Linked DNA regions of Neodiprion lecontei. The protein of the gene in region 3 purifies or fractionates together with the protein of the main gene of each other region. This does not show direct contact. Links are inferred from orthologs where the notes say so. Each region holds a gene or a part of one and is shown on either strand. Other genes may lie near its edges.

Region 1 (3,742 bases), about 28 Mb from region 3:
TGCGATTGTAATGACTAAAAATGTGATGGAACGCACCTCAATCGTTTTGTTTTAAAAATATGAAATAAAAAAAAATTGAGCTTGTTGAGTCAAATTCATGTTTTGTTGAGTCAAGAGTTCAATGGTTGAAGTAATAAAATTTGTTGTTACAAAAATTGAATTGACTGAACATTAGAATTATTCAAATGCACAAAATGTATTCTTCGAATGATGTTTTTTATAATTTTGTTGACTCTAAATTTTATGGAATTTACTTGATAATTTGACATTACTAGGGCACACTCGAAAGATTATTGCCGAATATGAGGAAGTATACATACATAAACCTTACATGTTCAGTAGTTTTAAATTACGCGTCGTCAATATCAATTTCGATGAGTCGGATAATGGCATAACGTTCCCTTTAATTGTTATAGGCTTGATGTCTAATTTGTCCTAGGTTATCCGTAACCAAATTCTTGGCCGACTACCCGGTTTTGTAACTATCTCTGAAGCTACTTATAATACTACGCTTATAATACTAGTATACTGACGTTAACGATGAATATATTGTCTGCGTGTTTCAAAGCATGTGGTTTTCCTTTTACCTCGTAAACAAATTAGTGCAACTGATTCAACCAGTTACGCCAACTAAGCTCCGGTTGGATCAACAAAGTGTGGCATTTATCGATGTAAATGTTCTGTTTGCTAGATTCATATACTTATTTTACTTGAAGTATCTAACTTTTTCTGTCAGCAAACATACGAGTTGGAGGAACAATACATAAACTTCAAATATATGAACTGGTATTTAGTTGACTCAATTTCGGAAACACGTGAAAAAGTTCACTCGAGTCAATACTTCACTCGATCGCGATAAGAAAGGCTTTTTTTTTAAATTAAGGAATTCACTTGACTGAATCATTTTGACAAACTAACTAAATCGAAATTGTTGAATTGAAGTCATCGTATTTAAACCAAATAAGGAATACTAAATTGAAGTTAATGGACACCAACAATATCTATTTTGTTGATTCAAGAATTTCTTACCCTCAGTGTACATTCAACCGTCAATATTTGTGAGAATGCGAATTTGCATAAGTGAAAAGTTCTAGAGAGACTGAAGAGGGTATTCTTCACGATATAATACGATTGTTGAGTACAGTCTAAAATGCTATCTGGTTTTCTCAACTTTAGTCCGTGTTTATTGATGCATATACACCCACGTCGTTTTTTATCTTGAACCGTAGGGAACCAGACGCATATTGTCCATACATACGTGTACATTTAGAATTCAATAATTTAAGAAGCTCTACGAGTGGTCGGAGTAAAGTTCATTCATAGACTATGGTAAAATAATGTACATACATACGGTGTACCAAGGTCAAAGCTCCTCGAGAATAACGTTCTTGTGCACATTCCATATGGGGTTAGTTCGATCAGAAATCTCTTTTCAGTCCTGTAAAAATTTGTTAGAAATTTTATCATTCAAACGTTGACGCGTCCGTTTGTTTTTTTTTTTAGAAATTCATTAAGAATTGGTACAAATTTTTGTCATGCATCTTGTGAAATTAAATATCGTTTTACATGTTTTTCATACACTCGAAAAATCTCTTAAAGTACTACAATTTTGATAGTACTACAATATTTTTTATATATTTTCCAAGATCTGCAACTAAGACTTTTTTCTTCATTTCACACCATTATGAAAGCACAAACGAAAATCAATCGCGTGTCCATTTACTAACCATTCAAATCAGGGATTCAAACTCGTTTCAACCGGTTAAGAAGGCATTTAAAAGCTTCGATTCAAAAGGTATCATGCCGCAGACGAGTGCACTGCGTAGTTTCAGTTCAGGACGGCGATATGCTGCGGGAGCAGTGACGCGATCCTTTACAGATGAAAGCAACACACTGTAGACTGATACTCTATGCTTATATTTCCCAATACTTCCTGTGCATGCGTAGTTCAGTCAACGACGAATATACGTAATAGAAACGCGGCAACGTTCGGCAAAGTTCCAGGTTCCTCAGTGAAGCGATTTCTACAATTTATCGCCGAGAGGTTATAACCGGGTATTTCGATACCTCATTTCATTCCACAGTAACAGATATATTTAAAAAATGGTAAGTCCCAGTCACGTGTTACCGAATTAACTACATCCAGTACAAATTACACAGTCAACGCGCTATCGACAAGAGGTTATGTCGTTTAGCACGTGGACGCGCAGTGAACCGTACGAAGAGCTGCAAACGAGCGAATAGAATTGACCACAACCGCGTTTGATTTAATAAATGAATATTTTACAGACCGATCAGGTGAACCCGAAAGCATACCCGCTGGCCGATGCTACTCTGACAGCAAAGATCTTGAATTTGGTTCAACAAGCAATGAACTACAAGCAGCTTCGCAAAGGAGCAAACGAAGCTACAAAGACGCTTAATCGAGGTCTATCAGAGTTTATCGTGATGGCTGCAGATGCAGAACCTCTGGAGATTCTACTCCACCTTCCGCTACTCTGCGAAGACAAGAATGTTCCCTATGTCTTTGTTCGTAGCAAGCAAGCACTCGGACGAGCTTGCGGAGTTTCCAGACCCGTGGTTGCTTGCTCGGTAACAGTAAATGAAGGATCTCAGCTTAAGCCACAGATTTTGGCTATCCAACAAGAAATCGAACGGCTATTAGTGTAAAGGCTGTAATAAAAGACCTCCGGGAGTACCTGATTCTAAAAATTAAAACACCGCGGAATAAATTCGCATATTTTTCTACGCAATCCTGTTTTGCTTCTTCGTCCGAGGAAGTCTACCAGACATTATTTCAACGAAAATGAAACTGATTTATATGCATATGCATATGTATATGTATAACATACATATTGTAGCACTACAAATAATTGTATTATTACCAATATTTGAATATTATACCCATTTCTTTCAATACCATCTGCCGCAACCATTTACAAAACATTTTTGTGAATTCGGAAGGTCAGTAAATAAATGAAACTTTGTAACAAAAAACATAATCTTTTAACTACCTTTCGTAATGTCGCTCTACCAGTCATGTGATCAGTAACTTTGCTCATGGCTCGGCCTTTCATGAATATGACTTTTCAAACTTGGAATAATTCATGCATTTCACTACAAAGAAAAAGAAACATCTAGAATTAATGGCAACTGTTGTTCGCAAACGAAAATGACAACACTGAAGGTTGGTTGTAATTTTTAAATAAATACTGTATTGGTTCAAATATAAGATGATTTTGGATTTCAAAACTACGTATCAGAAATCATATTATAATAATACCTAAATAAGGGACATCTGGATATAAGTCAATAGAGTCTTCCAGTCATATGCAGTATCAAAAACCTGGACTCATATTTGAAACAAGACGGTGCTACTGTTCGTGTCTGCTCATCTATACACTATTACTATGTATTCCAATGGATGCTGTTTATTACATAGGGGAAATAAAAATGGATAAAACGTTCTAAATACAACATAAAACGTAACATATATTTGATTCGAAATTAATAATTAATATGGACTGAAGCAAAGTTAAGTAAACGAGATTATACTCTGTGAAATAAAACAACGATTAAAGCAATTACGATTAAGGTCGATAAAAAAAAATTTGCATACCCACAGCTCTTAAATGTTAACGTATTTGTGTAAAATAGGCCTCAATACTCCAAGGCATTGAAAAACTATTTTGTATATATTGTTAGAAAAATCACAGGTATGTAGTACACTAGAATTTTTGTC
Region 2 (7,623 bases), on a different chromosome or scaffold from region 3:
TGTGTTCGAAATGATCATGAAGGCAGCCATTATGGTATGAATAGTTCTTTCAATCTATCATTATTGAACATAATTTTTCAAAAAGTGACGAGTAATAACATGGATATTTCCTAAGGTTTTCAACGAATCAATGGCTTGCTTGTATTTTTATGAAACTCACTTCCTAAAATTGGAAAACAGTGAGGCTACGCTTGCTTTTTCATAAACCACTAATCCAAGGTAATTTATAATTTCAGTAGGGGAGGGTGGGGCAAGACGGCCCCTCTAGGACAAGAAGGCCCCCTCCAAAAATTTGGTCAAAAAAAATTTTTTTTTTTTTTCAAATTATCGGGATTTTGATATATTAGCTCATTTGTAACCCTACGCGAGATACCTCGGGCAAAATGGACCAGCCAAAAATTCTAAAAAATAGATTTATTTACATTTTTAAAGTCAAATTATGAAGAATATGTACTTATTCATTTTTAGGCTGATTGTCTACTAAGTAGACTACTTGTAGGGTAAAATGAGCCACTAGCAGCATTTGAAAATAATAATTTTTTTTTAATTAATTAATTTCTTCAATTAAAGTTTTTTTTCCGAGTTTCATCAAAATGTCCATGGATTTGTTCGAAATAGGTCAAAAGTTAACTGACTTGATGGTTGAAAGCCACGAGTAATAACCGGCTTTGGGGGGCCGTCTTGCCCCAACCTTCCCTACTTGACATTCACAACTTTACCATTAAATAATTCTATTATAAAGCCGAAAAAAAGAACCACAGAGCTAGAGGTCAAAGGCAATCAAGATTCATTTCTTCCAGAGCCTGTCATGAAACTTGATGCTCAAAAAAATCATGTAGGAGATGGTGTCATACTTGTCAAGATCTTCTCGACAAAGCTAACTGATTGCAGTGCGGAACTGAAAATTTAATATACATTTGGCAATGTGAACTACCTTGCAGAGACCAGAAAGTTTATCAGTGTGAAATATGGTTAAGCGAATCAATATAGATATGGTAGTGATGAATTATGCATTTTGTATATTGTTACGCAACATTTAACTAACTCTGAACTTGAAAAGATGCGCTTTCATAATGATGGATTCCTTCAGCAGGTCATCTCAATCAAAAGATTAATTCAGGCTAAAAAAAAAATGCAAAGTTATGCATACGCAAATCTGATGAGAGTAATTTAAATAAATAATATATGTCCTGTTTGCATCAAGTTTAATATAAGATGATTGTATTTTACATAGATACAAGACTATCTTCTTTTTTCCCGCGTTAATATTCCGTGATACCTATGTGATGTATAAAGACTCAACCCTGAGCTATTTTTCGTAACGATTCAGCGGCTCTGGAAGGGATTGGGGGTATCAGTAGTTTCACGTAATATTAACCGAGTAACTAAACACGTCGGTAACAAAGTACTTCATAACCAACAACTATCGCGTGCAAAACGTTTGTAACAACGTCAATTCATGGTTTTTCAATTAAAGAGCTAAAGAGACGCGGGAAAAAGTCTTTTTCTCACAGGACATATTTAGAAATATTTAGAATGACATAAATAATATTATTTATACAATCATATGATCAACGGTTTTTTTTCAATAACTGATTTTCGAGACGCAAATTAAACGTGCGTTTCGAACGATCAACATGACCACTAACGGCTGCCTACTGTGTACTCAGTTGTCTACATGCCGGCGCTTAGCGGGTATTTTTTAACCTGTCGTATCTTGCGAATGACTTCGGATACATGTTCTTTCGGTTAATTTACTCAGTTCGGCTATATGAGTTCGACTTCCTCTGTAACCCCTATCAGTTTGATCACTTGCAGCTGAGACACTCTATATGGCGACAACTTCAGTCGATAAAGTAAGTTCTCGAGCACGCCGCAAGTGTGACGTTCGAGGTAGCACCGAAACGTAGCGTGGTAAATGGTAGGTGATATGGTGATCTTGTATAGCGTATCTGTCTTATGGCTAGCGGCCGATTTCAATGCGCTCCGAAGTACGCCGTCTCTTCGCACGCGTCCATCATGGCCTCCATAGACGATCCTACGATCTCCGCGCTCGTTTATGATTATTTATTGAAGAAGGACACATCCCTGGCGAAAGTCTTTCAGAAAAAAACAAAAGCGGTAAGCTTCAGAAAAGAATTGATGTATTTTACCCTTGCGTGACTATATTCTATACGATATACCGCGGCCGATAATTGGCAGCCTCGATAGCCGCACCACGTGGATAATTTCGAAATCGAAACGGCTTCTTATAAAGCAATTAAACCAAGCACAATATTTCATCCACACGAGTCTCGTTATTTCTCTCATTAAAATGTACTCCGTAACACATGTCTTTTCGATCTTCTTTCACGAAGCTTGAATACGAGACTCAAGATTTTCTAACCTCCCATGTCACATATGAGAAATAAATTCGAACCTGCTTGACTGAATGTGAAACGTGTTTACTCACGTAAGCAGTTTATTGCCAATTAGCATTGGGAGTGTTTTCACCTGTATCTTTTTTCAATCACGGTGTCATTCATCGTTATTACTTAATTTATCTCTAAATAGGTACTGATTTCAGTACAGCTAATATACCTTCAATATTGTACTTCTTAGAGATTCCTAAAATTAACACTGTATAATTGCCAATTTTCACTCTTCGTGCACTTGATATAGTTGTTTAAAAATAATTGCAATAATATTTCAATATTTGTATTAATTCTACAGTTACATTGTAACCTAAAATATTGCAAACCCATGTTTTACGTGACAAATAGAAATTGAATACTTATTCCATTTGCGACATAACATAACCATGTACAAATGTTTTATGCGCTGATGATTTGTGTATATTATAGCGATGAATACAAAAAATATATACACATATTATGTACGTGGTAGATTTTTAAATGAAGTATTTGTCTTCACATTCCATGTACTTAAGATGAAACGAGTACATACTTAGAAATCAAACTTCTTTTATAAATATATATAAATATTCGTATATAGGGGGTTTCAGTTCATCCATTCGAGTCATCGGAGATTTTGAGTTTTTGGCTGACCTACAACAACTGTTCCAGAATTACGGGACCTCGAATGGTTTGCGAGAGGTTAACGGTTTAATGTTTAAAAAAACACAATTAGTTGATACAACGGATCTATCTTTGAGCATGTATATCTTGTCTCCCTGATGCTGGTAGAATACTTTCGCAACTGATTTGCGAGTGCAAAGGATTTATCTTTAAAACTGTGAAATTGATAAATATTTAAGGACAGTTTTTAATTGCGAGATATTCCGAGAGGTTTTGATTTTGATTTTTAAACTAGAAGGGCATAATTTTCTACTTGAAAATTCCACTAAATACTTAAGAGATCCTCAAGTTTATAGAAGGGTGCTTTTTTTTTCTTAGTTTTTTTTAATTATTTAATTTCTTTTATCGCCTGCTGGAGTGCAACCACTCTTTTTAGTTTTGAAAATAATCTTTTAACGTCAGGGAGCCAATATATTCATGTTCAAAGATCACCTTGCATCGAATGAATGGTTATTTTCAAATTTTGAAAAGTCAATATTTCGTGGACCATTCAGCATCAGGCCGTATAACCCTAGAATAGTTGTTTTGGGTTCGCCAAGAATCAAAATCTGAAATGCTGCCAAAATCAGTGACCCATGCGCAGAATTGCGATCCGAATGTGCTGGAATCCCCCACACATTAAAAAGAATGTGTGTCGTATGCAGTGTGAATTGGAATTAAATGGCTAGGATTTCTCAGTACTTTGATCAAATTGAAAATTTATTCTAAACAAATTTTGAACGATTTTAATTTCAGCCTGAGCTTGCAAAAGGCTCTCCAACAATACTGCAAGTAATACAGCATTTTCAAAAGAATTCATCGAAAAAAGTTAATGTTAAAGCACAAAAGACAAACAGCAGTTCAGATTCAAGTTCGGAGAGCGAAGATGAGGTGCCTAAAAAAGTGCCAATAGTTAACGGCAAAGCGCCAGTAACAAAAAAGCCAGAAATCAAAAAGCAAGAAAGTTCATCAGAAGAGTCTTCTAGCGAAGATGAAAAACCAGCCGTCAAAGTATCCCCGCCTAAACCTGTAGCTAAATTAACACCTGCCGCAAAAGAATCAAGTTCAGATGACAGCTCGTCGGACGAAGCTCCGGCTCAAACAATTTCTTCAAAAACAAAACTGACCCCAGCTAAGCCAAATGCCAAAAAAGCTTCTTCCAGCGACGATTCTTCAGATTCTGAAGAAAATTCCAAAACACAAGTGGTGTCTAAACCTATGGCCAAAGCTGGACCTAAAGTAATCCCTGCAAAAGTAGCTGCAGCGAAACAAGAATCCTCGGACGATAGTGATGATAGTAGCGATGACGAACCAGCTGTTAAATCAAGCTCCAAACCTGCAGCTAAAGCTGGCGCCAAGCCCGTCGCTAAACCTGTGGCAAAACCAGTCGCAAAAACAGAGACTTCTAGCGATGATTCGGATGATTCATCAGAAGACGAAAAACCGGCAGCAAAGACTCCAAGCAAAGTTACACCTGTAGTAAAGGCTACTCCTATAAAGGTTGTAAGTTCAGCAGCTAAAAAAGAAGAATCTTCAGACGACTCTTCCGACGATGATGAGCCCACTGTGTCCCCAGCTGCTAAGGTGGTAGCTAAGGCAGCTGTGAAAGCAAAATCGAGTAGCGAAGATTCGGATTCATCTGAAGACGAGAAACCTGCACCTAAACCAGTCACTCCTGCGAATAAAGCTACCAAACTTGTCGTTAGGCAGGCTAAAGAGTCCTCAAGTGATGATAGCAGCAGCGATGAGGAACCACCAAAAAAAAAGTTTGCAGCACTTCCAACTAAACCTGCAGCAAAACAAGAATCATCCAGTGACGATTCTGATGATTCATCAGAAGTTGAGAAACCAGTGCAGAAAGCTGTTGTAAAATCCACACCAGCTAAAGCTGTTGTCAAACAAGTAGCTAAGAAAGAGTCCAGTGATGACTCTGATGAGTCTACAGAGGATGAGAAACCTGCATCTAAGCAAGTTGCCCCCAAAGCTGTTGCTGAGGAAACATCCAGTTCTGAGGATAGCGATGAAGAGGAAACGCCAAAACCTAAAATTACTCCAGCTGAGTCCAAAAAAAGAAAACACCAAAATAACGATAACGATGAAGACGATGAAGATGATACAGAAGCAAAACAAGTTGCAAAAAAACAAAAGGACAAATATAGCAATTTTGTAAAGGCTGGGAACAATGTAAATGGGGACAAGGTAACTATTAGTTGCAAACCTAGCAATTTTTATCTTGTATCATCAAATTTGCCCTCAATAGTACACTGAAACTGTTTTACACAGTTCTGGACATCAATATCATTTATTTTATCCATAAATTTAAATATAGAAAATTTAGTCCCCGCAACCTTTTAAAAACAAAAATTGAAGCATGAAATTTTTTATTTGAGCAGTAATCCTCTTTTTCCCTAGCGCTTATATGTTCCCTAATTGAAGCAGTATTTGTAGACGAATTGAAAACTAATGTTAAAGATGTAGGTACAGAAAAATATTTACAACCACCAATATTCGTGGAGTTCCTTTGTTGTTTACTTTGTTTTTGTGTATTCATATCTTTTAACAGAGTACTTCACTATCATTAATGTCACAAATTGCACTAATTTTTCATGGCTCCATTTGAGCCCACCATCAATGATATACTTACCTTTTACTTTCATTCTGTGAACCAGAAAAATACACCATTCAGACGCGTAAAGGATGACGAGATCGAAGTGGATCCACGATTGGGGAGTAATGCATTTGAAGCTAAGGTAAATGCTCGGAAACAAATGAGTATGAAAACAAATGAGAAACACAAGGTCACTCCCATACTCTTTCATGAAAGTTGAGGATTGATCTGTTGAAAAAAAAAATTATACGACTTTGTCCTGATAATTCAAGTAACCAGAAAAGTGTATATACTCATATTGTTTATCGTAACCGACGATTGTTTAGTTCTGAATCTTGGACTTGGCTACCAAATTCGAAAGCCTTATTGCCACCTGATATTGTTTGCGCTCATGTTTCCATGCATTATCCTGAATTTTTCCAGGTGCCTGTCTCGTGTCAGTGGCCGAGAAAGGGCAGTGCTCGGACAAATGATATCAACTTTCAGATTGCTTGACCTTGTGTTTCTCTCTTGTTTTAGGAAGAGGGTGAGGAATGTGCCCATACCCCAAATAACGGTAACTTCAGGGGCGGAAGAGGCGGTTTAGGTTTCCGCGGAGGAAGGGGTGGCGATAGAGGTGGTCGTGGAGGCTTCAGGGGTGGGAGAGGTGGTGATCGCGGAGGTTTCAGGGGGGGTAGAGGTAGCTGGGGTGACCGAGGAGGAAGAGGCGGTGGCCGAGGAGGGGGTGGCAGAGGAGGTTTCGGAGATGGAGGCAGAGGCGGTGGTGGACGAGGGGGAGGTGATTTTAGAAAATCTTGGGGAGGTGACGAAGGTGGCCGAGGCGGTGGAAGAGGTGGGGGCTTCAGGGGCGGCAGAGGGGGTGGTTTTGAGAAAAGAAATTCATTTGGAGATGCACCCGCTCAAAATAAGAAAATCACTTTTGACGATTGATTATAGGAGTTTTTAAAGATAAGGTAATCGCTCAACATAAGACTCATGGATGTATGAAAAAGCCTGTAATTGGTACGGTAATTCACAAGTGAGTTTTTTTTTTTTTTTTTTTTTAAATAGAATCATTACATTTGTCGAATTTTTATAAATTCTTGATATTCAAAAAAAAGCACATCGTTTGGTTCTGAATTCAGTGGTGACTTTGTAGAATTCTATACGTAAACAAAGAATTTGGCATGACGTTAATCTGACACAAAATCAGGCTCATATGCGTCAAGCACGGAATTGGAAACTCTGATACTAAATTTTCGTCTTTCCAATTAGTTTCGGACTTGTAGGACTTGTTTGTACTTTCATGATATCTTAGTAAAATTTATAATAAATACATGGTGTCCAGACATGAGAATTCAAGAATTCCGTTTGATCTAAATTCTGCGAGTGACTTTAAACTCGGCAATATCTTGCGAAATTCGAATACGTACAAGATCATTCATTTCTGTTTTTCTAAAGGTAATTTTTACATTTTTCACTGTTCGTAACACAAACCCGAAAAACTTGAAATTATCATGAAATCCTGTTCACCATGTAAAATCGTTACGTCAAGTGAAGTGTTAAATGTGACGTGTAATAACCGAAATTATCTTGTTTTATTTTAACAGAAAGGTTTCCGAGGCTCATGGGGAGAAAGAGCAAATCTGGACCTGAAACACACCAGGGGGAAATCGTTCCGTCATGAAAAAACAAAAAAAAAACGTGGCAGTTATCGCGGTGGTCAAATAGACATGACAGTCAATTCCATTAAGTTTACCGACAATTGACAAATCGATTATTTCACGTGAAATATTACGATTACAACATGATATACGCCATAGCTATTTCTTACAAGAGTCTTATTTTTATTACAAACCACTTATTATTAAATTATTTCTCATTGTAAAACCGTTATAGAATCATCATTACTTTCCGACGTATCGGCAACGGTGTATTTATCACCTGACATTTAGCTTGTCAAAGCTAGATTTATGTTTT
Region 3 (4,782 bases):
TGTGTTACCATTTATTGGTGAGATAACGACGTCGATAAGATCAGACGCGCTCAACCGCTATGCATTTTTATCGGTAAATTGTGCGCGTCGAATATTTAGTTGCTCGCGAATTACCGCTCCGGCAGATATTTGTCTGAAAAAAGGGCCTTGTTTTATACTTGGAGAATATTCTTGACTCAGCGATGAAGCTTTAATATTTTTCACTGAAATTTTCAGCGATTTTTTGGAAAACATTTCAGGACAACTTTTAGTGTAATTTTGTTTAAAAAATGGCAAGATACCGTACACAGTCCCTGGCGTTGATTGACGTAATATGTAAATAACGAACAGCGCAAAAATGCAGCCGTCAAATTAGTAACATGCCTTACAGGAGTTTCCTTACCTCGTCTTCGGCATCTCGACGAGTCTCCTGAAGAACAAGCAGAAAAAAATGAAGGTCAGGTGATACCGGGCAATATGGACAGGTCGAGCACTTCGGAAATTGGTCGTATTAACTCACAACGCGTCGACGGCATCCGTATGCCGGGTATTAAGCGACTGGTAATTTTTCACGTTGTAAACACCACCGCCCGCTGACCCGAGATCTGAGATCTAATCTATGTTTGTAAACAACACAGGATTACCGATCACGATTGAACCGACACTGCACTCTTTGTCGCGGGAAAGAAGGACGCTGAGGTCGATTTGACCGTGCAGCGTCGTTTTAGGGTTCCATGATTTTCGGTCATCATTCCCGTCTCACGATTATTCCGCGTTGTTCATTGTTCAATTCAGATGCTTAATTTCATCCGTACGGGGAAAAGAGAACCGGAGAATCAAAACGACGCTTTGCGGCTCAAACAATACTTACTGCGTCGCGAACGATGAAGCATGATACGACTTACAATGACACGACGAAACGAACACTTTGTCTCCGCGGTCACCGGCCTACTAAATCGACGAATTACAACAGGAATAATACCGGCACCAATCACACAGACCCGCCGACGAGTCGGGAAGAAAATTTGTTACGAATAATTATCCACTCGGTCTCGTGGGCGAAATTACTCCAACAATTTAAACGTAATCAGTCGAGACGAACGCACGGTCACGTGACTCGGCGGCGGGCGACTGTGGCGCTCTCTTCTGGAATTCCATCCAACTAGTGTGGAAATTTTTAAGTCAATGTCGAGTTGTACATTCTTTTTACCGATCGTGGATATATTGGCGAGCAGCTACTAAGCTTCGGTAATTGGTATACTTAGATCGTAGGTAGTTAGTTCAGGAGGTTGATCCGGGTTTTAAATTTCAAGCATATACTACTGGAGATAGCTTCGCATGTGCAGAAAGTGTAGCGTAATAGGAGTAATAGAGAGAGTTATATATGTTGCTTATAATCTGTCTCTCTCGCCCTACTCCTGATTGGCTGATACGACTCCTCTCAGCCAATCAAATGCAGAGTGAGAAAGATACGTATATCTTTCTTTCTCTCTCTCTCTCTCATCACTTCGGCTGCATTTTTCGCGAGATCAATACTTGGGATGGGTGGCTCCCTCCAGTAGTGAATGCTCTGAGATTTTGGAAGACGAAGACCGGATACAGTGTTCATACCACAGCTCGGGCTGTCTCCTTTCCATTCCGCGGTGTGTTTTATGCCGGCGGTCGCGTGGTTATAATTTTTGGGAATAATATTTTCAGTTGAAAACCGTCAGAAGAGCGTGTAAACCAGGCAAAGATGCTGGTTTTATTTGAAACCCCGGCGGGGTACGCCATATTTAAGGTAAGCTATTATCGGAGTTGCATTTTATCGGAACATAACCAAAACTCAAGTTCGGCCACAGGGACGCACGTGGCTATCGGAGTGAAAACGTTGTAATAAAAATTATATACTCATCGAGATTGTTTTCATCCTCACGTTCGTAATTTTTTTTTATAGCTACTCGACGAAAAGAAACTATCAGAAACAGAAAACCTCTATCATGACTTTGAGACCCCAGAAGCTGCTAGCAGAATGTAAGTATCGCGTACTCAGCAAACATGAAAATTGATTAATCTTTGGTAATTCTTTATAGTTTGATTATAAATACGATATTTATTTTTCATATTTTCCTCAGCGTCAAGCTCAAGCATTTCGAAAAGTTTGCGGATACGACCGAAGCTCTGGCAGCAACAACGGCAGCGGTCGAAGGAAAAGTAAGCAAGTCATTGAAAAAGATGCTGAAGAAGTATTGCGCCGAGGTTCAGGAGCAACTGGCAGTGGCAGATGCAAAGTTAGGAAATGCGATAAAGGATAAACTGAGCCTTTCCTGCATCAGTAACACTGCCGTTCAGGAATTGATGAGGTGTATACGAAGTCAGATGGATTCGCTGTTGACCGGCCTGCCGAAGAAAGAAATGACTGCCATGGCGCTTGGTCTAGCTCACAGCCTTTCAAGATACAAGTTGAAATTCTCACCTGATAAAATCGACACAATGATCGTCCAAGCGGTTTGTTTACTAGACGATTTAGACAAGGAATTGAACAACTACGTAATGCGATGCCGAGAATGGTACGGCTGGCATTTTCCTGAACTAGGAAAACTCGTGACTGATAACGTCGCGTTTGTAAAGACAGTGAAGATTATCGGCACCAGGGAAAACACGGGGAACTCAGATTTATCTGATACGCTGCCCGAGGATGTAGAAGAAAAGGTTAAAGAAGCGGCAGAGATATCAATGGGGACTGAAATATCGGACGACGATATTCTCAACATCCAACACCTCTGTGATCAAGTTATAGAGATATCCAGCTACAGGACACAGCTTTACGACTACCTCAAGACCAGGATGATGGCTATGGCTCCGAACCTGACGGTTCTTGTCGGCGAACTAGTCGGTGCTCGGCTAATTTCCCATGCTGGATCGCTCATCAATCTTGCGAAACATCCCGCCTCCACGGTGCAAATTCTTGGTGCAGAAAAGGCACTTTTTAGGGCTCTAAAAACCAAACGAGACACCCCCAAGTATGGATTGATCTATCACGCTCAGTTGGTCGGTCAATCGTCGACGAAGAACAAGGGAAAAATGTCGAGGATGCTTGCAGCAAAGGCGTCGCTGGCCACAAGGGTAGACGCTCTAGGTGAGGATGGCAACTTTGACCTAGGAGCTGAACACAGAGCAAAACTGGAGGCAAGGTTGAGAATACTTGAAGAAGGAAATCTGCGCAGGATCAGTGGTACTGGGAAGGCCAAATCAAAGTTTGAGAAGTATCACACGTCTTCAGAGGTGAAGCAGTACCCTACTGCTGCAGACTCGACTATACCGAGCAGCAAGAGAAGGCATTCACAGATCGATGATAAAAAGCCATTGATCGAAGAGATCGAAACAGTTGCAGAAGACGCAGCCGAAGTGCCACAGAAAAAAAAGAAAGTCAGGGATAGCGTTGGGGAACAGGAAGGTGCCGGAACTCCTGGTAGCTCAAAGAAACAGAAGAAAAAAGTCAAGCAGGAAACTGAAGAAGAAGATATTGCTGCTGTAGAAGTCGAAGAACCGGAGCAGGAAGTTGAAGGTAGAATTAGAATTATCTATGTTAAATGCAAATAGGTGTAGGAGTTGGAAAATTGTCGTATCGTTGAAAAATGTTCATTAATAACATCACTATTTATTCACAGTTACAGAATCAGCAAAGAAGAAGAAACAGAAAAAATCTAAGGTAAAGACGGACGTAACTGAGGAAGAAATCGCAGAACAGGTTGAGGGTCCATCCAGTGAAAAGAAGAAAAAGAAGAAGAAGAAGAAATCGATGCCAGACGATTAACTATTCCTCCATATGTGACAAGATAATTGTCGACGCAGTAATGCTATTGTTACTCTACTACACTACAAATGTATAATCGCTAACTTGGATATCTCTGCAGCGACATACATTGCTCCTAGGCCAATAGTTGTTTTATTTTTTTTTTTTTTTTATTTTTTTGCCACCCTTTTCCAACCACGTATGAAATATTTAAATATCGGATACATGTGTACATTTCTACAAAAAAATTTTGTACAATTTGATCATGAAGGTTAATTTCGTGCAGTGTGTGAAAAAGTAAGAGTTGTATAATAAGTAGAATTATTCTTGTATTGTTGAAATCCGTTTCCATATTATAATTGTGCTAAAGGATTTATAAAGTACGTTTGATAAATGAGCATACTAGAATATTATTTTGAATACATAAGTTTTCCTGTTCTTATAAGCAGTACTGCTGTGTTGCATACTATTATAATTCAGAGAAAAGAAAATGTGTATCTATTTTTTAATAAATCTATTATTAACTACCCCACGTGTATTTTTACCTAATTATAAGTCAACATTCTTTCCGTGAAAAAGTTTTGACAAGATGAAACAGAGCGATCGAGGTATAACAAAATAAAACTATGATGCATCGAATAATCTGAAATTTATTGTTAAAATTTTCCGTACCCTTAATTATCGTTTATGGATAATTATATATCTGGTTACAATATAATATTTAAAAAGTATAAAATATGCTGTTGATTTTTATATTATTTTATTCAATTATTTAGTTATTTATTTATTTATTTATTTCATTTATATATGTGCCTTAGAGCCTAACTAATTTTTAACATCTGATTTTAATTCTATCTCTATTGTATTTGTAATTCAAATTGAATCCTGATTTAATCTGGATTTAGTAAATTATGTACCACACACAAATTGCATCGAATTGGTTTCAATGCACTGAAATGAAAAGCTTCTAAAATATGAAATCTGAGAGTGAGATCAATGCATTTGATATAATATATATATAGCATATA

The links. The genes of interacting proteins can lie anywhere in the genome.
Region 1: the proteins of nucleolar protein 58 (region 3) and NHP2-like protein 1 homolog fractionate together in Homo sapiens (co-fractionation; 3 studies listed by BioGRID and IntAct, with this or other methods). This does not show direct contact. The link is inferred for Neodiprion lecontei from reciprocal best matches to the Homo sapiens genes NOP58 and SNU13.
Region 2: the proteins of nucleolar protein 58 (region 3) and nucleolar protein dao-5 fractionate together in Homo sapiens (co-fractionation; 3 studies listed by BioGRID, with this or other methods). This does not show direct contact. The link is inferred for Neodiprion lecontei from reciprocal best matches to the Homo sapiens genes NOP58 and NOLC1.

What each region holds. Positions count from the first base shown.
Region 1 is NC_060261.1:30,700,213-30,703,954, reverse strand, and holds NHP2-like protein 1 homolog, read left to right. Parts: upstream 1-1,915; 5' UTR 1,916-2,103; coding exon 2,104-2,106; intron 2,107-2,289; coding exon 2,290-2,670; 3' UTR 2,671-3,232; downstream 3,233-3,742.
Region 2 is NC_060260.1:24,040,103-24,047,725, forward strand, and holds nucleolar protein dao-5, read left to right. Parts: upstream 1-1,613; 5' UTR 1,614-1,959; coding exon 1,960-2,121; intron 2,122-3,812; coding exon 3,813-5,255; intron 5,256-5,725; coding exon 5,726-5,806; intron 5,807-6,183; coding exon 6,184-6,594; 3' UTR 6,595-6,617; exon of another isoform or gene 6,618-6,682; intron 6,683-7,253; downstream 7,254-7,623. UniProt on the Homo sapiens protein: Nucleolar protein that acts as a regulator of RNA polymerase I by connecting RNA polymerase I with enzymes responsible for ribosomal processing and modification.
Region 3 is NC_060261.1:2,781,366-2,786,147, reverse strand, and holds nucleolar protein 58, read left to right. Parts: upstream 1-1,554; 5' UTR 1,555-1,714; coding exon 1,715-1,759; intron 1,760-1,915; coding exon 1,916-1,992; intron 1,993-2,093; coding exon 2,094-3,526; intron 3,527-3,629; coding exon 3,630-3,775; 3' UTR 3,776-4,281; downstream 4,282-4,782. UniProt on the Homo sapiens protein: Required for the biogenesis of box C/D snoRNAs such as U3, U8 and U14 snoRNAs. Part of the small subunit (SSU) processome, first precursor of the small eukaryotic ribosomal subunit.